2 linked regions of the Solanum lycopersicum genome follow. The protein of the gene in region 1 interacts with the protein of each later gene in a pairwise test. Links are inferred from orthologs where the notes say so. Each region holds a gene or a part of one and is shown on either strand. Other genes may lie near its edges. The genes, in order: sterol side chain reductase 2 and ataxin-3 homolog.

Region 1 (9,625 bases):
TTTCAAATTAAAAAACAAATCTTTTACAAGTCTATATTTTATATAAAAAAATAATAATTATATGTATACAATTTTTTTGGAGAATACCAGAAGAGTAATGAAATGTTTCACCTAATATAAATATGATGATATAGTTGCTAATAATATTATTCAATAATTGACTTCTATTAGAGAGTAATACGTTACAACTTATGTTTGATTTTTTTTTGAACAAAAAATTATTCATAAATTTAGTTTTTTTTTCGAAACAAGAAAATAATTTTACTTTTGTTATGAACTTTTGCTTATTTGATAAAATTATATATATAATCAAGGCAATCTAATTTTTTTTGCAACTTACTAAATTTTTATATACATAATTAAAAGTAAAAGTTAATCATTCAAATTACGTGTCCAAACAAAATTTTAATTCAAAGAAAACTTCTTTATAATGATTTTGATTCAAATAGCTAAACGGATCTGATAAAATCGTCGACACTTTTTTCATAATTTAAAACAATTGATATTTCCAAAGTTCAAGTAAATAGTTGAATTTTTTTTCATATAAATATTTTAAAATTGTTTAGGATCATAAGTTTAATTTTATTTTTTTAAATATCATATCAAGTCAAATAATATCACCTAAAATAAAACACAAAAATTGATAATTTTATATTTTAAAAAAATAATAATAATAGTTTTTTTAAAAAATTAGCCGAAGAAGTTAAAACAAAAAGTAGGGATTATTGATGTAGTTAGCAATTCTGTCGATTGGTGCTTCAATAGAATATAATTTTGATTTTTGAATTTCACATATTCAATTACTATCTTCGAATCAACAATATTTTTAACATAGGGTTTCATAATAATGTTAGTCTATGTGTTCGATAACACTTTATTCAATATTGATTTTACATATTTTACAATTATAAATAAAAAATATGATTAATAATAATGAAATTTAAAAAGATAAATAAACAACTATCGTTGAAAATTTGGAAAGATGAAAAACGACATCTCATTACTCTATGTATTCATAATAATTAATTAAAAACTCTAATTTTAACAAATGGTCACTCTCTCACTGTCTATAATTTATATTTTCTGACATCACTTTAATCTATATACACGTTGCAGATCATATTTAACTATTGAATTTTCAAGATTCTTTTTATTTACCCAAGTTTTCCAGTAGTATTATATTTTATTGGAAATTTCTTTGATCAAAATGATTATTTTTTTTATATTATTTTATATTTTTAAATATTTTCATTTAGAATTTTAATATTTTTTAATTAAAAATAAAAAATATTAATTTATTTTAAAATAAAATAAAATTAAAATTTTTAATAGGAGTCGTTTGATACAAACATTAATAATGCATGGATTATTAATGCATGAATTAGTAATGCAGGGATTAATAGTGCATGAATTATTTTTTGTCAAGTGTTTGGTTCACTACTTTCCACTTAATTTTGTGTTTAATAATTTTGTGTTTAATTTATAATTCTACAAAGAAATTCTTTCCTATTATGCCCTTGTGTTATTATGAGTTTTTATTTCATGTAACTAATTCTAGGTAGATAATTACCGGACCGGATAATTTTTTTAAAGAATTATTTATTTCATTTAATTAGTTAAGTTAAATATTTATTTAACTTATCTTGACAAATTATCTTGAATAAAAAAAAATCAAAAAGAAATGAAGAAAAAAATATTAGTAAAATCATTAAATTACACCAAATAAATTTGGAGAATTAGAAAAGAACATTTATAACTACTCTAATATAAATAAAAAGGAAATTAAATTACAAAAGAATTTTTTTAAAAAAGAATAAAGGGTTAATTTAGTCATTTAAAAATTTTATCCAAGATTTAACAAATCTTAAATTAGTTATCCCTACATTTTCAAGGGATAAGATAATATCACATATGATGAATAAACAATACATAAATTAAATTAAATTAAATAATCAAATAATATATTTATTAAATTAAATTTTAATTCATAAATTATTTTACCTAATATGCCTCCAGATCGTTAGCAGTTTCATCTGATTAACAAAAGGAATCTTGAGCATTAAATAATGAACACGTGTAAAAATTTTATGAAATTTTAATCAAAGTGAATTTTATGAAAAGTTTATGTTATTCATAATGGTTTGAAATATAATAATACGTCTTTTACTTTATAAATCTTAACAAGAACGGAGAAAAATTATTCAGTAAATATACGATATTATTATTTATATATATTTATTAATGGAGAAGGAGTAAGACATTCTAATAAGATTTTTCTTTTAAAATAATAACTCGAAAATGCCTCTCAACCAATTGTAAAACAAAACTCCAAAATCTAACTTGCACGGTAGATTCGATCTGGGATAAGAATCTAATTTTAAAATAATTTACAAAATAACTTTTTAATCTTATAAAGCGTGATAATAATTAGTATTGGTTCAAAGTTAATTTCTTTTTATATAAATAAATTATTTCATATAAAACAATGACAAAATAATCACATAACGTATTTTAATTTCTCTCAGCTCATCATTTGCACTCAATAGATTCTACGTTTACGATATCCTATCTGATTACTCATAATTCTTATAGTTATTTTTTCTAAAATGCAAATTATAAAAATTATTTTATGATAAATTATTTATCATATCAATATGAAATAAAATCATAATGTATAACACTAATTATATAATTTTTTAAATTTTTAATTTTTTATTTAAAATATAAAATTAATGTATTCTAATTTTAAAAATTGTCCAAATTAACTTTCGGAAAGATACTATTATATAATTTTTTGTGGCAGACAAATCATTTATTGTTTCACCAAAATAATGCACTTGGAAAGCGGGCCAAAGGGGTCACGTGGTTGTCAGCGGACGATAAGTTACTTTGTCTTTTTCCCTATTTTTTATTTTCCAATATATTAAAAATGAAGTTTTATATTTAGTTTTCTAATTTAACTTATTAAGATAAAAATATCTTTTTAATATTAAGTAGCATCTATAATTATTTTGAATATTTTAAAACTAAACCTCACTTAATGAGTAATTATTATGGTAACAGTATTTTATCATCACGATTTGATCCTAATTGATGCAAAACCATTTTTTCATGTTTATTTTAATTGTTTCTGTAATAATATGTTACTTATAAGAATAATAATACCCGTTATAATGTTAAATCATCCGTAAAATTATCTCTTTATACTACACATATAAAACTATAGTGAATAATATTTTATGAAAAATATATTATATATAAGTAAAATAAATAATACTAAGTGTTTTAAATATGAGTATCTAAAAAAATAATATTTAAATAATATTCGTCAATTATATATAGGATTGCTTCTTTAGTGTTTAGTTTAATTAACAAAAATATTGCTTCTTTGTTATATCAAAATTATTAAAACTAATTCTTTGTCATACTTTTCTTCAAAAATAAAATCTAAATAGTACCTCACTTTAATAATCATGTAAATTTCAAATGATTATTATTAGTATAATGCCATTTAACGATATATAAAGAATAATTAACGACTCTTCAAAAGTGATACTTTTGTACTCTTTCTAACAATTTTAGTTAAGTAGTGGGGGCGTTTGATTGGTAGGCTAAATGGTGGGCTAAAGATATAAATCACACTTACAAAATGATTTTGGATTTTTTTATATTCATTTCATCATTTAAATATATATAATTCATATAAGACGGAGAAATATTGAAAATATTCATAAATTTAGCAAGTTTTTAAATTATGTTATAAGATTCAAGATGTACTATTTAAATTATAATTAATAAAGTAAAAATATTATTTTTAATAATTTTTACATATAATTTAAAAGTGTATTTAATACTTAGCTTTTTACGATTTTATCGATGTCCTCTGCCTACCAACCAAATAACATGTTTTTCCGTAAATACCCCTATTGTTGTAAGTTCTCTATAAAGCACACTATCATCTTTAACTAAACCATCTCTCATTTTGGGGAGTAAACTCTGCAATCCAATTATTAGGTACTCATTTTTCATCTCTTCTCAATTTTTTCTCACTATGATTATTATTTTGTTAAATTTAAGCTAATTTTATAGCTATTTATGCATGAAAAATCATAATTAGTGTTAAGAATTCGGTAGTTAATTATGCTTTTCTTTTTGTACAATGCATGACATAGTTAGAGTAGAACAAATTATTTTGTTGCTCATGAGTCATGTTTCACGCATGCTGAAGTTTTTGGGTTTAATTTTTTTTTTTGAAGTTAGTTTTATAAACCAATGTGTTGAAAATAATTTTCTGTAAAGAACAAATTATATTGTTGCGGAATCAGTTGATAATTTTGAAGTGAAAGAGCATAATCTTATTTTTTGGTAATGCTCCAATAGAAGCATATACTAGTAATTTTGTTAGTTTTGCATATCAAAGAAAAATGTTATTAGTTGAAAAATTATGTTGTATATATAGTCAAATTATAAATATTTAAAGCTTGGATATTTTTGACATAAGTTAGGTTTGAACTTGCTCTGTTTTCGTTTACTACTGTTCTTCCCTAAATTTGAATAAATTATTGAGAAAGCGGAATGGATTATTTCTCTTGAGTTTTTTTTTTTTTCTGAATATTTCTATGTTTTTTTTTGTGAATATGGAGGTAAATTTGTCAAAAAGTTTAGATGATTTTTGGAAGACAACTTAGATTAGTGATGTTTAACGATTAATTAGTATAAGTTGAGTGACCATTCAGATATTCAACTCCATATTTAGTCTATTTTACCTTTACATCAGTTGATTTTACAATGATAATTAGTAACAAGAAAATGGCCATGGTGCATAAATTTCAACTTTTAGTTTCAAGATTGTACTGAACTTGGCGTTTTTCGCGGGATGCTGTTGTTGTTAATCTGACTGTCAATAGCATTATGTTTTTGGGAGAGGTTTCATATTGATGCTATTTGTGCCTTAAAGTTTGTTAAGTAGTGCTCAATTGGTATGTGATTGATGATAAGTAGTACATTTCTTGGCTGTGGTTCTTAACTTGGATTCGTCGTTGTAACAGTTGTTTGTCCTCAAGTTTTCAAGATGTCGGATGCTAAGGCCCCCGTGGCCACTGCTTACCCTAAGAGGAAGATCCAGTTGGTGGACTTCCTTCTTTCGTTCCGATGGATCATTGTCATCTTTTTTGTCCTTCCATTCTCGTTCTTGTATTACTTCTCGATATATCTAGGGGATGTGAAATCCGAGAGGAAATCTTACAAGCAACGCCAGATGGAACACGATGAGAATGTTAAAGAGGTTGTGAAGCGTCTTGGCCAGAGGAATGCAGAAAAGGATGGTCTTGTATGCACAGCCAGACCTCCTTGGGTGGTTGTTGGAATGAGAAATGTCGACTATAAACGTGCTCGTCATTTTGAAGTTGATCTTTCAAAGTTTAGAAATATACTTGATATTGACACGGAGCGGATGGTTGCTAAAGTTGAGCCTCTAGTCAATATGGGCCAAATGTCAAGGGTCACTATCCCAATGAATCTTTCCCTTGCAGTTCTCGCTGAGCTCGATGATCTTACCGTTGGTGGTTTGATCAATGGGTTCGGGGTTGAAGGAAGTTCTCACATATTTGGGTTGTTCTCTGACACTGTTGTAGCACTTGAGGTTGTTCTAGCTGATGGAAAGGTTGTTAGAGCTACAAAGGACAACGAATATTCTGATCTTTTCTACGCTATTCCGTGGTCTCAAGGAACATTGGGGCTTCTTGTTTCAGCTGAAATCAAGCTTATACCAGTTGATCAATACGTGAAACTTACCTACAAACCTGTAAGGGGTAATCTTAAAGAGCTTGCTCAGGCTTACGCGGATTCTTTTGCACCTAAAGATGGAGATCAGGACAATCCTTCTAAAGTTCCTGAGATGGTAGAAGGCATGATTTATGGTCCAACCGAAGGGGTTATGATGACCGGTATGTATGCTTCGAGGAATGAAGCCAAACGAAGGGGTAATGTAATCAACAATTACGGTTGGTGGTTCAAACCATGGTTTTACCAACACGCTCAAACCGCACTAAAAAGAGGGGAATTTGTTGAGTACATTCCAACTAGGGACTACTACCACAGACACACGAGATCGTTGTATTGGGAAGGTAAACTAATTCTTCCATTCGGTGATCAGTTCTGGTTTAGGTTCCTCTTAGGATGGCTCATGCCACCAAAGATTGCTCTGCTCAAAGCCACACAAAGTGAGGCTATTAGAAACTATTACCATGACCATCATGTCATTCAAGATCTCCTTGTTCCTCTTTACAAGGTCGGTGATTGTCTCGAGTGGGTTCATCGCGAGATGGAGGTAAAAATTTGTTCGTCTTTTAGTCCGGTTTTTTTGGTTTTTGGCAATTCCTTTAACTAAAGCACATTTTGGTACATACGAATTGTATTTGTTTAGGTATATCCAATTTGGCTGTGCCCACACAGAATTTACAAGCTGCCAGTGAGACCAATGATCTACCCTGAACCAGGATTCGAGAAACACAAAAGGCAGGGTGACACCGAATATGCACAAATGTATACTGATGTTGGTGTGTACTATGTTCCGGGAGCAGTCCTGAGGGGTGAGCCGTTTGATGGTTCAGAGAAATGCCGACAACTTGAGCTTTGGTTGATAGAGAACCATGGATTTCAGGCTCAATACGCGGTGACTGAGCTGACAGAGAAGAATTTCTGGAGGATGTTTGATAACGGTCTGTACGAGCAATGCAGAAGGAAGTACAAAGCTATCGGAACGTTCATGAGTGTGTACTATAAATCGAAGAAAGGAAGGAAGACAGAGAAGGAAGTGCAGGAAGCTGAGCAAGAGAAAGCTGAACAAGAGACTCCTGAAGCAAATTGATTCCGAAGAATAGTAGAATTTCTATGACTTTTTTATTTTTTTTTTATTTTTTATGATCGTCTGTTTAGTTGGTTTCTAGTATGAATTTTCGCCTTTTAAATAAGCAGCTACATTGAACAAGTATTTTACTAGTAGTAAGGTCTGCTTGCCTGTTCCAAATTCAAAAAATGTTTCAAATAATAATGGCTAGTGCAGTTCAAAACTCTCAAGTTTCATTTCTTTATATATACATACTGCTTTTTTTTTTTCAAGACATTTCTGCCTCATGAAATTTGAAAAGAATTAAGATGCAGGAAGTTGTGTTTAGTCATAATTACAAATTATGATATTTTTCGAAATTTTATAGCTAAACATGATTTTTGAAATTTAATTTCGAAAAAAGTAATATATATTGATGGCCAAATGAACCTCAACATAACATGAATAAATAATGAATTATAAGAAATAAGGTATACATTAGTTTTGTGTATAAACGATACTTTGTCGGGTATAAATTTTTTTGGACAAAGGACAAAAATCACATACTTTTAAGGTAAAATTACAATTTGTTACTTATAAGTTTATAATTATAAAAATTTCTCAAACTCATACAATAATATAAGCGCGGATATATTAATTTGATGTGCGAGATACATTAATCGTTAAGTAAGATATATTATATTTTATAGATGATACACTAATCTAATGTACATTTTATACGTGATACACTAATCTGATGCGTGAGATATATTAATTTAAAGCGCTGATTTATTAATCTGATGCGTGAAAATGAGGAATTTTAGAAATTCGTAAAACTAATACAGGATAATGGTAAAAGACAAATTATATTAGTAATACAAGAGGGATTTAATGCATTAGCATGATTAAAAAGTCAATTGACCCTCAAAATATTTTTTACATCTTTTTCGCAATGGTTGTGAAAGGTTTTAAACAAATATTTCTTTGAAATTACTTCTTTTCCTTTCTTTCTGTGCTATCCCGTGAACTGTCAGTATCGAGACAAGTTCAGAATATTGCTCTGAGCGTAGACTAGTCTGCTCAAGCAGTCACAAATTATGAAATGTCGTCTATTTTAATATGTAAAACTAAATAATGAATAAAAAATAATTTGTATATATTAATACGAATATTATTAATACATTCTATTTAATATTGTTCCTATACATCCTCTCAAATGACTACTGAATGAGACCCTTAACTAGGGATGGTTATACGGGACCAGTTTAGCTTAACCCGCAAAATTTTTTATTTACTTCATCCACATAACAACTTTTTTTCATTTTCAACCTACCCCGCCATGCCTCACCCCACCTAACAATTTTTTCATTTTCAACCCGCTTCACCGCACATAACAATCTTTTTCGTTTCAACCCGTCCCAACCTGACCGCATAGAGCGGCCCCCATAATTTTTTAAATATTTTTTTCTAGTTAAGTTTGATACTAAAAATGAATTCATTTTTTAATTAAATTGTATTAATTTAAAGGACAATGACTTAGAGATTTATTTTTAGAGGTCAATTAGAAACATGTAAAAGATTGAATTATTTTTTATTAAACCATTTTCATTTACTATAGCTTTAAAGAAATCATCTTAAGAAATAATGCTCTATCACAATAATAACATGTACAGAGTTAAAATAAAATACGAACTCACGTAAAAACACACATACCCTAACCTGCAACCCATCCCATTCCGCCCTACATTATTTTTTTTTAAAAAAACCACTCCGCGTCCCTCCCACCCCACTCAACCTTAAACTCACCCCATCCCGCGTCCGCGCCACCTCATTTCCATCCCTACCCTTGACCCACCAATCAAACATATATTCCATGTTTTTTTAAAAAAAAAACTAAAGAAAAAAGTAGCCGTTAGAAAAGTAGAACGTTATGCCTAACGTTACAATCCCACCTATAAAAAACAATATTCTCTACATACTCCATTTATTTATTAAAAGCATAGCAAAGCAAAGAAATTAGGATAATAAGAGATATGGGTATGGTGGTTGTTATTTCTCTTCCATTTATACTTTTCACAATTCTTATTGGATTTGGATGTTTTTTCTTTGGAAGAGCTAAAGGTAGACAAGATATCAAAACCAATCCCCAAGTCTTTGGGGTACCCACCCCACCACCTGGTGCACCTCTTTCTTCAACTCATGAATTCAAACTGCAAGACAATACTTCAAATGTGTAACATTGGGGGTGGATTCATTCTACTTGTGCAAACATGAATAGTGTGAATGATATATATTTTTTTTGTTAAGATTCTCGTATATTCTTTATTTTTTTGAATTTCAATTGTGAGAGTCAGTGGAGATGACCTATACTGAGTATGTTGTTAATTATTGTTGTTGTTGTTAAAGTTGTATTACGAATCGGTGATTAAAGTATGTTTTGATCATATTTTGGTAATGAAATTGTATCAATTGAGTGCAAACTCCCTCTTATATTACTTTATATTTATTTATGTGACAATAATTTTGAATACGAAATGTCAAATTGAGTGAACTTCAATAGTGAATGTTCAATTTTTTAATTTTTATAATTATTCATGTATTTACAATTGTTTCTTCAATAGTGAATGTTCAATTTTTTAATTTTTATAATTATTCATGTATTTACAATTGTTTCTTCAATTTTTTTTTTTTAAAAAAAAACACTATTGCCTCTCTCATTAGAGGGAGTGCAATTTATATGTTGTCAATTCTAAATACTAAAGAAGTATTTGAAAAAAGACGCAGCAATTTTTTTAAAAA
Region 2 (8,372 bases), on another chromosome or scaffold:
ATTGTTTATCACATCCTCGATCCCATAACTAAAAAACGCAACGGAAATGAAGAATAAGTATGAACAGTGATAGATTGGATCTCAGAAAAGTGAAATACCAAAAGAATTTATATATCCTCATGTTGAATATTTCAGTATTTTATGTTTCCTCACAGATCCATTGCAAAATAGAAGAAAAAACACATAGAAGAAAGAAATAAGGAACCGATTGAGCAGAGAGTTTATCATTTGAAGAAGACGCTGAGAAACCCTAGCGCCGATGACGAGAAGATTGGCTGGGTAAAACGCAATATTTATATAGACTTTGATGAGAAGCAGTAGAAGCGACGACGGCGTTTAAGGGAAATTTTGGTAAATATTTTACAAACCCTAGCTGCATAGTTAAATTGCAGGACAAGTCCTCCTTCAATCTTTTCCGGCCATATTCAACCTTGGACTTCTTAGAATTATTTCCGTCTAACTTTGGATTAGGCTTTTATATAAATGTTAAATATTTTTGAAAAGTTTGATGTGTTTGGTCATAGTTCTAAAAATATATTAATTTTGTCTAATTCATCGATGACTCTTTAAATTTGACACAAAATTTCACTTAGACATCTTAATTGAGCGATGTTCATTTTAAAACCCTCATATAAGATCTCGCTGTGTCATTTTGACACTTTGCGCTCACATGACAGTGAGTGTAATTAGGGGTGGGCATAAAAACCGGAAAATCGAAACACCGAACCGAACCGAAATTTTTCAGAATTTTGGTTTCGGTATTTCGGTTTTCGGTTCAGTATTCGGTTTAATTTTTTGTATTTTCGATATTTTGATTCGGTTTTCGGTACGTGTTACTTTGGAATTCGGTATTTCGGTTTAAACCGAAATATTATATTATAATTTATAAATTATATTATATTTAATAATTATTAATATTAAATAATTTTTTTTAAAAAAATAAGAAACCCTAAGTTGAAATATCAAAGCCCATTAAGTTGAAATATCAAAGCCCATTAAGTTGAAAAATCAAACAAAAAATTGAAAAAATTGTTAAGTTTAAAATTTTAAAAAGCCCACTAAACAGGCCCATTAAAAAACCGAACCGAATTAATAAAAACCAAACCGAATTAACAAAAACCGAACCGAAATATTTCGGTTCGGTATTCGGTACGCAATTAACAAAAATCGAAAACCGAAAAAACCGAAAAAAAAACCGAACCGAACCGAAATACCGAATGTCCGCTCCTAAGTGTAATACACTCAAAGTCAGCGCGTGAGGAGCTTTCTTTCAGGCCAAAAAAATTATTTTTAAAACATTGTTCATCTTCTCCCCTCAATCTTTGTGATTATCTCATCTACCAGACACCATCAAACCACGCTAATGCAACATCGCCATGGATCATATTAAAATCAAAATAATTTTTAATTTTTCAGATCTAAAAATTGCCACAACTATTATCTTCTGCTCATTTTGTTTCTTTATATCCAACAATTAAATTTCAGCGCCATAAAATAATTACTCTATTTCGTGTTCACGTATTTGAATCCTCTGCACATACGAGAAAGTAAAAAAAAAAATTCTTCCATTGTTTTTTTAGAAGTAAAAAGGAGGGGGTGAAGAAGACAAGGGTGAGTTTCTTGAGAATTAGATTTGTTGAATTTCCTTTTAAAAAATATTTATTATTTGAGTTGTAAATGCCACGTGTCATCAAGTGAGTGGTTATTTTTCTTTTTACTTAAAAATCATTAGTTTAGAATTATTTTGATATATGACATGTGATTAAGTGAAACTTTGTGCCAAATTTAAGAGACCACCGATGGGTTAGGCCTTTAGCTAATTATCAAAAGCGTGTCAAAATGATACAATAGACCCTCAATTGAGGTGTTCAAAATGAACAAAGTCTACTTAAGATGTTTAAGTGAAAATCGATGTCAACTTTAGGAACAACCTAAAATAAAATATCCTTTATCCTTTTAATGGTTGATGAGTGATAAATACAAAGTTAACTATAAAGAAGTCATTTATTTAAGAGAAAATGGCCAAAAGCCCCCCTTCCCCCCAAATCTATAGCCGAATTCCCAACTATCCCTACAGCACCAAACAAAACCAATATCCAGGAATCAAGCAAAAGAAAACAACAGACTGGACCAGAACAAGTGAGTGAACAAGCAAAATCATCATCACAAAGAATAAAACACAAGCTGCAGCCACCAACTTCAGAAAAACCAAACTAAAGGTGATTATCACTCTTAATTCATTGTTCAACCACTGTTTCTCCAACATACTAACCAGACATTTTCTTTGAAAACAACTTCTATAGTTAATCCAAGCTTTTCGGCGGCTACTTTTAACCTCGGTACAGGAAAGGTAAGGCAATTTCATTTGTTTATGCTATAATCTCAAATCCACATATTTGATGTAATGTTACTGCCTCACAGGAAATACAAAGCTTGCTCACTTTTGTAGATCTCATGAAGTCAATTAATTGCCCCACCACTTTGTACAGTTTCTGCTTTACCACAAAGACTAGTCAATTCTTTTTGCCAGAACTCCATTCAGAATCCATCTTTGACAGCCAAACACGCAGTTGAACCACTTGTTGCCAATCTGTGTTATGAAAATAAAAAATTACAGGTTGTAATAAATCAGTCAGAAACACGAAGTAACTGAGATTTTTAGAACCAGTAAATAAGATGAACAGAAATTTATTTGTAAAAAATAAATGAAATCTGTAAAACTTACCAGAATCTGGGATACTCTTTTTTTGACAATTTAGGAAGAAAATCAAGTCCACTGAATTCACAGTGTCCCCTTAAGGAAATTATTCCTCTCTAGTATCCGAGGTTTAATTTGGAATATAACCTCCCAGGGTAAAATGATCTTAATCAGAAGAGTATAGATACCAAAAACTCTATTGACAGCGAATCAATCCACAGCAGGAAAGTACACGAAGAAATATGTGTTTTTTAAGAACAAGGAAGATCAGAAAAATTCGTTGGGAAATTTCTGAAAACTGAATGGTATTTATAGGCAAGAAGAATATATTCTGAAAGGTTGCAACCCTTTCAGAATTGACACGACCATTAATGAAAGGTTGCAAACTTTTAAATGGTATTGACTGCTCCTGAAAGTTGCAACCTTTCAAAACAGTCATGGCGGGAATTTTATAAATATAACGGAATTTAAAACGGGTCACGCGCGCGGATTCGAGTCGGGTCGAGTTAACTAAAAAGTTGAAAACATTTCGGTTAACTTCTGTTATCAACTAATTAATTGAAAATAATTTTTGGCCATTAAATTAATTAAATAAATAATTAAAATAAATTTGTCCAAAAAATTATCTCTTGATCGATCATTTGCCAAAGTCGAAGCCGAAGCCGAAGCGAGCGACGACGACGACGGCGCGAGGGGGTCCCTCTTTCCAACCCTTTTAACAATTAATAGGAGTGTTTATTATTTAAACTCTCCTATTTTCATTTCCATTACCGATGAGCGACTATTGCCTTTTTAAATAAAGCATTAGAGAACTTCTCAAGTTCCCAACCTTTCAAGTTCTAAGCTTTTCAAATTCCTCTCCTTCCCTCTATTTCCCATCAATTCTTGTTACATACCCAACACCACTAACATCCATTTTCCCTCTTTTGATTAGCAAGCTTACTGTATAACCTTGTACAAAAGTAATGTAATATATTTTAAACATGACCACGTCTTTTTTATTTTCACGCCAATAAAAAATTCGTCCGTACAACGTCAATACAAATTCGCCCAGGCATTAAACCCCTAGTTATTATTTAAATAAGAGACGATCACATGGCATAAAACAATATTTACATCCAAAAAATGTACAAGCAGCAAATAAGAAAACAAGAACAAAAAAGTGAAATAAGAACTGTCTCAATGAAATGACTACAAAGTACAAATTCTATGAAGATCAAGTTTTTTTCATTTTTCTTTTCAAATTATATAAAAATCTTGCTCTTAGCCAACAAACAACGTCCATGTGTATCGTTTTTAATTTATTTTTTGAAATAAGAAACAACATCACTGTTTATGCAGCAGAATTATGAACTAGTATCCAGTATCGGATGCAATTATGAGGAAAAAAAACAGTTCATAAGTTTTCCCGGCTTAAAACACTGAAAATGTTCCCTTGTCATGCATTAGCTGCACTATTGTCCTTATTTTCATTTTCCAAGGTATCAGGTTTGGTGCTGACTGCGGGGGCAGCATCCAGCAAGCTGGCAGCAATTGCAACTTTCAAATCCTCATCTTCTTCATCTAAAAGCATACCTTGTTCCTCGTATTGGCGGTAGGGAACAGATTGCCACTGAGTTTGACCACTTCTGCTACCTGTTCTCTGTGCAGCATTGCAGGACTTGGTAATCCTCTCCGCATCTTCTGGTAACAGCCACTGTCCATATCCACTAGAAGCTTCAGAGGAAGAGATCGGACATTCCTTGGGAAATTTTCCGCTCACCAGGAAAATGCTCCAGCCAAAGCCTTTTAAGGAGTCAAGATACGCTGAAAGGTAAAATTTGGAGAGGTGATCAGGAGCCGGCTTGAGACTTTCAAAGTTGTACCACTCCCCATTTACTTTCCTGATACAGAACCAATGGTTCTGCAAGTGACAGATAAATGCATTTCTCAGTTCTGGGTCAATCTGAGCCAGCTCAGCAACTGGGCTATCCAGTGGAATGATTTGAAGATCCCATACCTCCAGTACCTTTTGCAAAACCTGTAACGAAAATTCAAGCCAGAATTAGCTTCTAGAGCCAAAGCGAAAAGGTGATTTAAAGGAAATCATTGGAAAAATAGCATCATAGTGACAGGATTATGCAAATCGAATGGTCATAATATCTCTCTCCACTTAGTGTAAACTAGTTATTTCACATGCTATTTGTCTCTCACACTCAAACACATTAAACAAAACCTTGTGCCAGATAAAATGAGCACTAACTCAGGCTAAAGCTACATACTACGGGACAAACTAGAGTTCTGCATCTCCACCATTCCACCATGATTTTATCTTCTGGTATTCAACTTTTCTCTCGGATTCACTAGCTAGTACATTTGATTTTGACCTAAAAATCATTACTACCAGACGTAAAATAGGCTTGCTGCAGAGGCAGATCCACCTTAAATCAAGGGGGGTCAGCTGACACGGCTTCGTTAAAATTTTTTAGTATTTATATCTGTATGTAGATCAGAAAAACTAAAACAGAAGTATAAATATTAAAAATTACACTCCTTGAACAAACAAGTGTCATGGCTCATGTGGTTTACGTCGCAAATGAAGCACAACACACCTGAGTTTGAATCTCAGTAGGTGCATTTTTTGCTTTAATTTTTGAGCCTCCTTTTTCAAGGAAAAAGAGAAAAGTTTAAGAAGGATTTAAACCTCCAACCTCCTATTTCTACTCAAATTAGGCTAAAACAAACCAGTTGAACTAGAATACTACATATATAACCTATTATAAAATTTTTATTACTTATTCAAATCAGAATTGGATACAATAATAAGTTATAAAGTAAAACCTAAGCCAAACTGAATTGATTCATTTTCTAACTTTTATATGGAAAAAAGATATTGAGATTGGCTGAGTTATACCCTGATGATTATGCTAAATACTCTATAGTCGACCTTCGCTTTCAGCTTGAAAATTATATTGTTGATGTTAGAGATCATGATAAAAGGTTCTTCAGTCTTAAGGAACTTCGTAATGTTTCCAAGATACTCGTAGAGACGAAGAAGCACAAAACTTATCCTCTTGTGTTTCAACTAGTTAAATTTGCTTTATGTGTCGGTGACTACTGCTACAGTTGAAAGAGCTTTCTCGACGATATAGAGGAAGAATATTTAGTACTATCCCCAATGAGGCTATTATGAATACATTTGAAAATATCAAAACTCGTCGAGGAGAGTTGTAGTAGTTTACTTAATTTATGTTTTTAGTACATTTTAAATCATTTTTATTAATTTTATCAATTATTTATTATTTATTTATTTTTAAATATCGACACCACTTACAAAAAATCCTGCATACACCACTGGCTTGCTGGGCACTTATAATATCACAAAAAAGAGGGGCTTGCTATACTTGAGTATTTGACTGATTGAATTAATGAATTTTAACTCTATCAAATATTTAAAATATTTGATATGGGTTTATATAGGATGTGCCTTCATTCACATGATTACTCTTTATATTAGGAGGAAAGGATGTGATATTCTATAATGATACTAATATCAGAAAGCACTTACCTGTAGTCACAAAGCTATTTCCTATTTTTCCTATTTTTTACTTTTTTATTACAGTAATGCCTAGGCCAGTTCGCGTGCATCTCAATTGACCTATTTCAGCAGGTACCAACTAGCTTTTAAGAGTAAAGACATCAAGTACCAACTAGCTCTTACGAACAAAAACATGAAGCTACTTTTAATCAAAACTCTTCCACAACTTACCCAAAGTTATAACTAAAAGAAGAAACCAAAGTCATTTCCAAAACAACAGGAACCAGAGAAAAAGTTTACCAACAGTTCTGTGAACAAAATGTCACAGAAATATAGTGATTTTCGTCTATATTATGTTCTCTCCTCATTTTTTCTCAAAGTATCACTTTATTTTCTCTCTTTTTTTTTTTCTGACAATACTAGTGTCAAGCCAACTTTGCATCCCGAGTATGGAATAAGTCCATCCCCACAAACTATGGGAGATGACTAGAATTCACCTAGTTTCACCTCTATTTAGATTTGAACTTCGCTAGGTTGTACTCCACCTCTTCTACCACTAAGCAACATCCAGGGCCTTTTCTCACTTCCTTTTTTTTTTTGAAAAAAATAAAGTTCTTTTTGGGTCACATTTAGAGTGTGCCATATTTTTGTGTACTGTGGTGATTAATCACTAGATTAAATGAATGAATGAAAGACCAGTTCATTTTTAAAGTTGCTCCCACGTCAAAACAGCCCTAAAATTATGAAACCATATTAACTTCTTCGATGTTACATTCAGGAGAATTTCATTATACTGACATTAATTGCTGTCAATGATCTAGCGTGATTTTACAACATGCCTAATGTAAATGCCACAACTGGAGTCTTGGAGGGTAGTATACACAAAAACCTTGCCCTACCTTAATCTAGTACGATTCTAGTAACCTAAAATTGAAAAACCCATCTTTAATTTACAATGGTAGAATTTATTATGCTTGGAAGAAAACAAAAAAGCCACACGAAAACTAGACCTTGTTACCTGAAGAGAATATAAAACCACAACAAATCTTGCAAGCATAACAGGTCTTATAGACTTAGGGGTCGTTTGGTGTGAAAGGTAAATAATAGTGATGGGATAAAATTTTTGTGTCTTGTTTGGTTACCATGTTTGGGATAACTTATCCCACTATTTATACCACAGTGATAGTATAAGTTATCCAATATATATGGTGGGATAAGTTATCCCAGGATAATTAATCCCAGGATAACTTGTTCCCAACCAAACGACCCCTTAAAACTTAAGCTCGGACAAAAGTAACATATGGAGCCTTATCCTCTTCATAAAGACTCAATTCCTATGCCACTAAATGTTATAGAAATAGTTGACACAATAATTTATTGTTTCTTTATCGTGCTGGAATTTCGATATTCATTTCATTCATAGAATCATCATTTTAAACTTGGATTTTGTGTTCTTTATATACAAGATTTCACATATAGAAGGTTGGATTTTGAGTTTCTTCATAATAAATATGCCAAACTGACAAGATGTTTCCTAACTTTATAGGTAAGCAGCCTATACATTATGTCAAATACAATTTCTACAGTCATACAAGTTCAGTTATGGCTACAAAGTGTTCAGATATTAGAATGCACAACATGAATTCATCCTACAAACTTCACCCAAAAATACAATGCCAATTTAGACCAGCATCACACAAAGGTTCCTTAATGGCATGTAATAAAACCAGGTACAATCGTGCTACAGAAAAAGGTTTTCAACGTTCCTATTACGTACTGTAGGTAATCATGATGATTCTTTATGTAGGAAAGAGATGACTTCTGATTAGGAGACTAACAGCACACCATATTTTCCGGAGATTAACATCACAGAGCATTTACTGCAGTCATATCAAGGTATTTTAATCAAAATTCTTTCACAACTAAAATATCTTAATTCGACTTAGAGTTTCCAAAAAATTAACCAAAGAAGAAACCAGTGTAATCTGCACAAAGAAAAGGATTAGAGGAAGGACCCATCAAGGGATTTGTTTAAAAGAATGAGTACATAGTAATCACCATCTAAGTTATGTTCACCTCTTTCTTTTTCTTCTCCTTCCTTTTCAAGCTAATTCTCTTTTTATTTTCATTTGGTTTGGGGTGGCTATATTTAGATGA

What was found.
Region 2: the proteins of sterol side chain reductase 2 (region 1) and ataxin-3 homolog interact in binary tests that used the Arabidopsis thaliana proteins (3 or more experiments, as listed by UniProt). The link is inferred for Solanum lycopersicum from reciprocal best matches to the Arabidopsis thaliana genes DWF1 and AT3G54130.

The regions. Positions count from the first base shown.
Region 1 is NC_090801.1:55,566,363-55,575,987, reverse strand, and holds sterol side chain reductase 2, read left to right. Parts: upstream 1-3,989; 5' UTR 3,990-4,014; intron 4,015-5,048; 5' UTR 5,049-5,071; coding exon 5,072-6,328; intron 6,329-6,424; coding exon 6,425-6,868; 3' UTR 6,869-7,066; downstream 7,067-9,625. UniProt on the Arabidopsis thaliana protein: Plays a critical role in the general process of plant cell elongation. Involved in the synthesis of campesterol, an early precursor of brassinolide.
Region 2 is NC_090809.1:64,646,747-64,655,118, forward strand, and holds the end of ataxin-3 homolog, read right to left. Parts: intron 4,719-8,372; coding exon 4,137-4,718; 3' UTR 3,984-4,136; downstream 1-3,983. UniProt on the Arabidopsis thaliana protein: Interacts with key regulators of transcription and represses transcription. Acts as a histone-binding protein that regulates transcription. Acts as a deubiquitinating enzyme.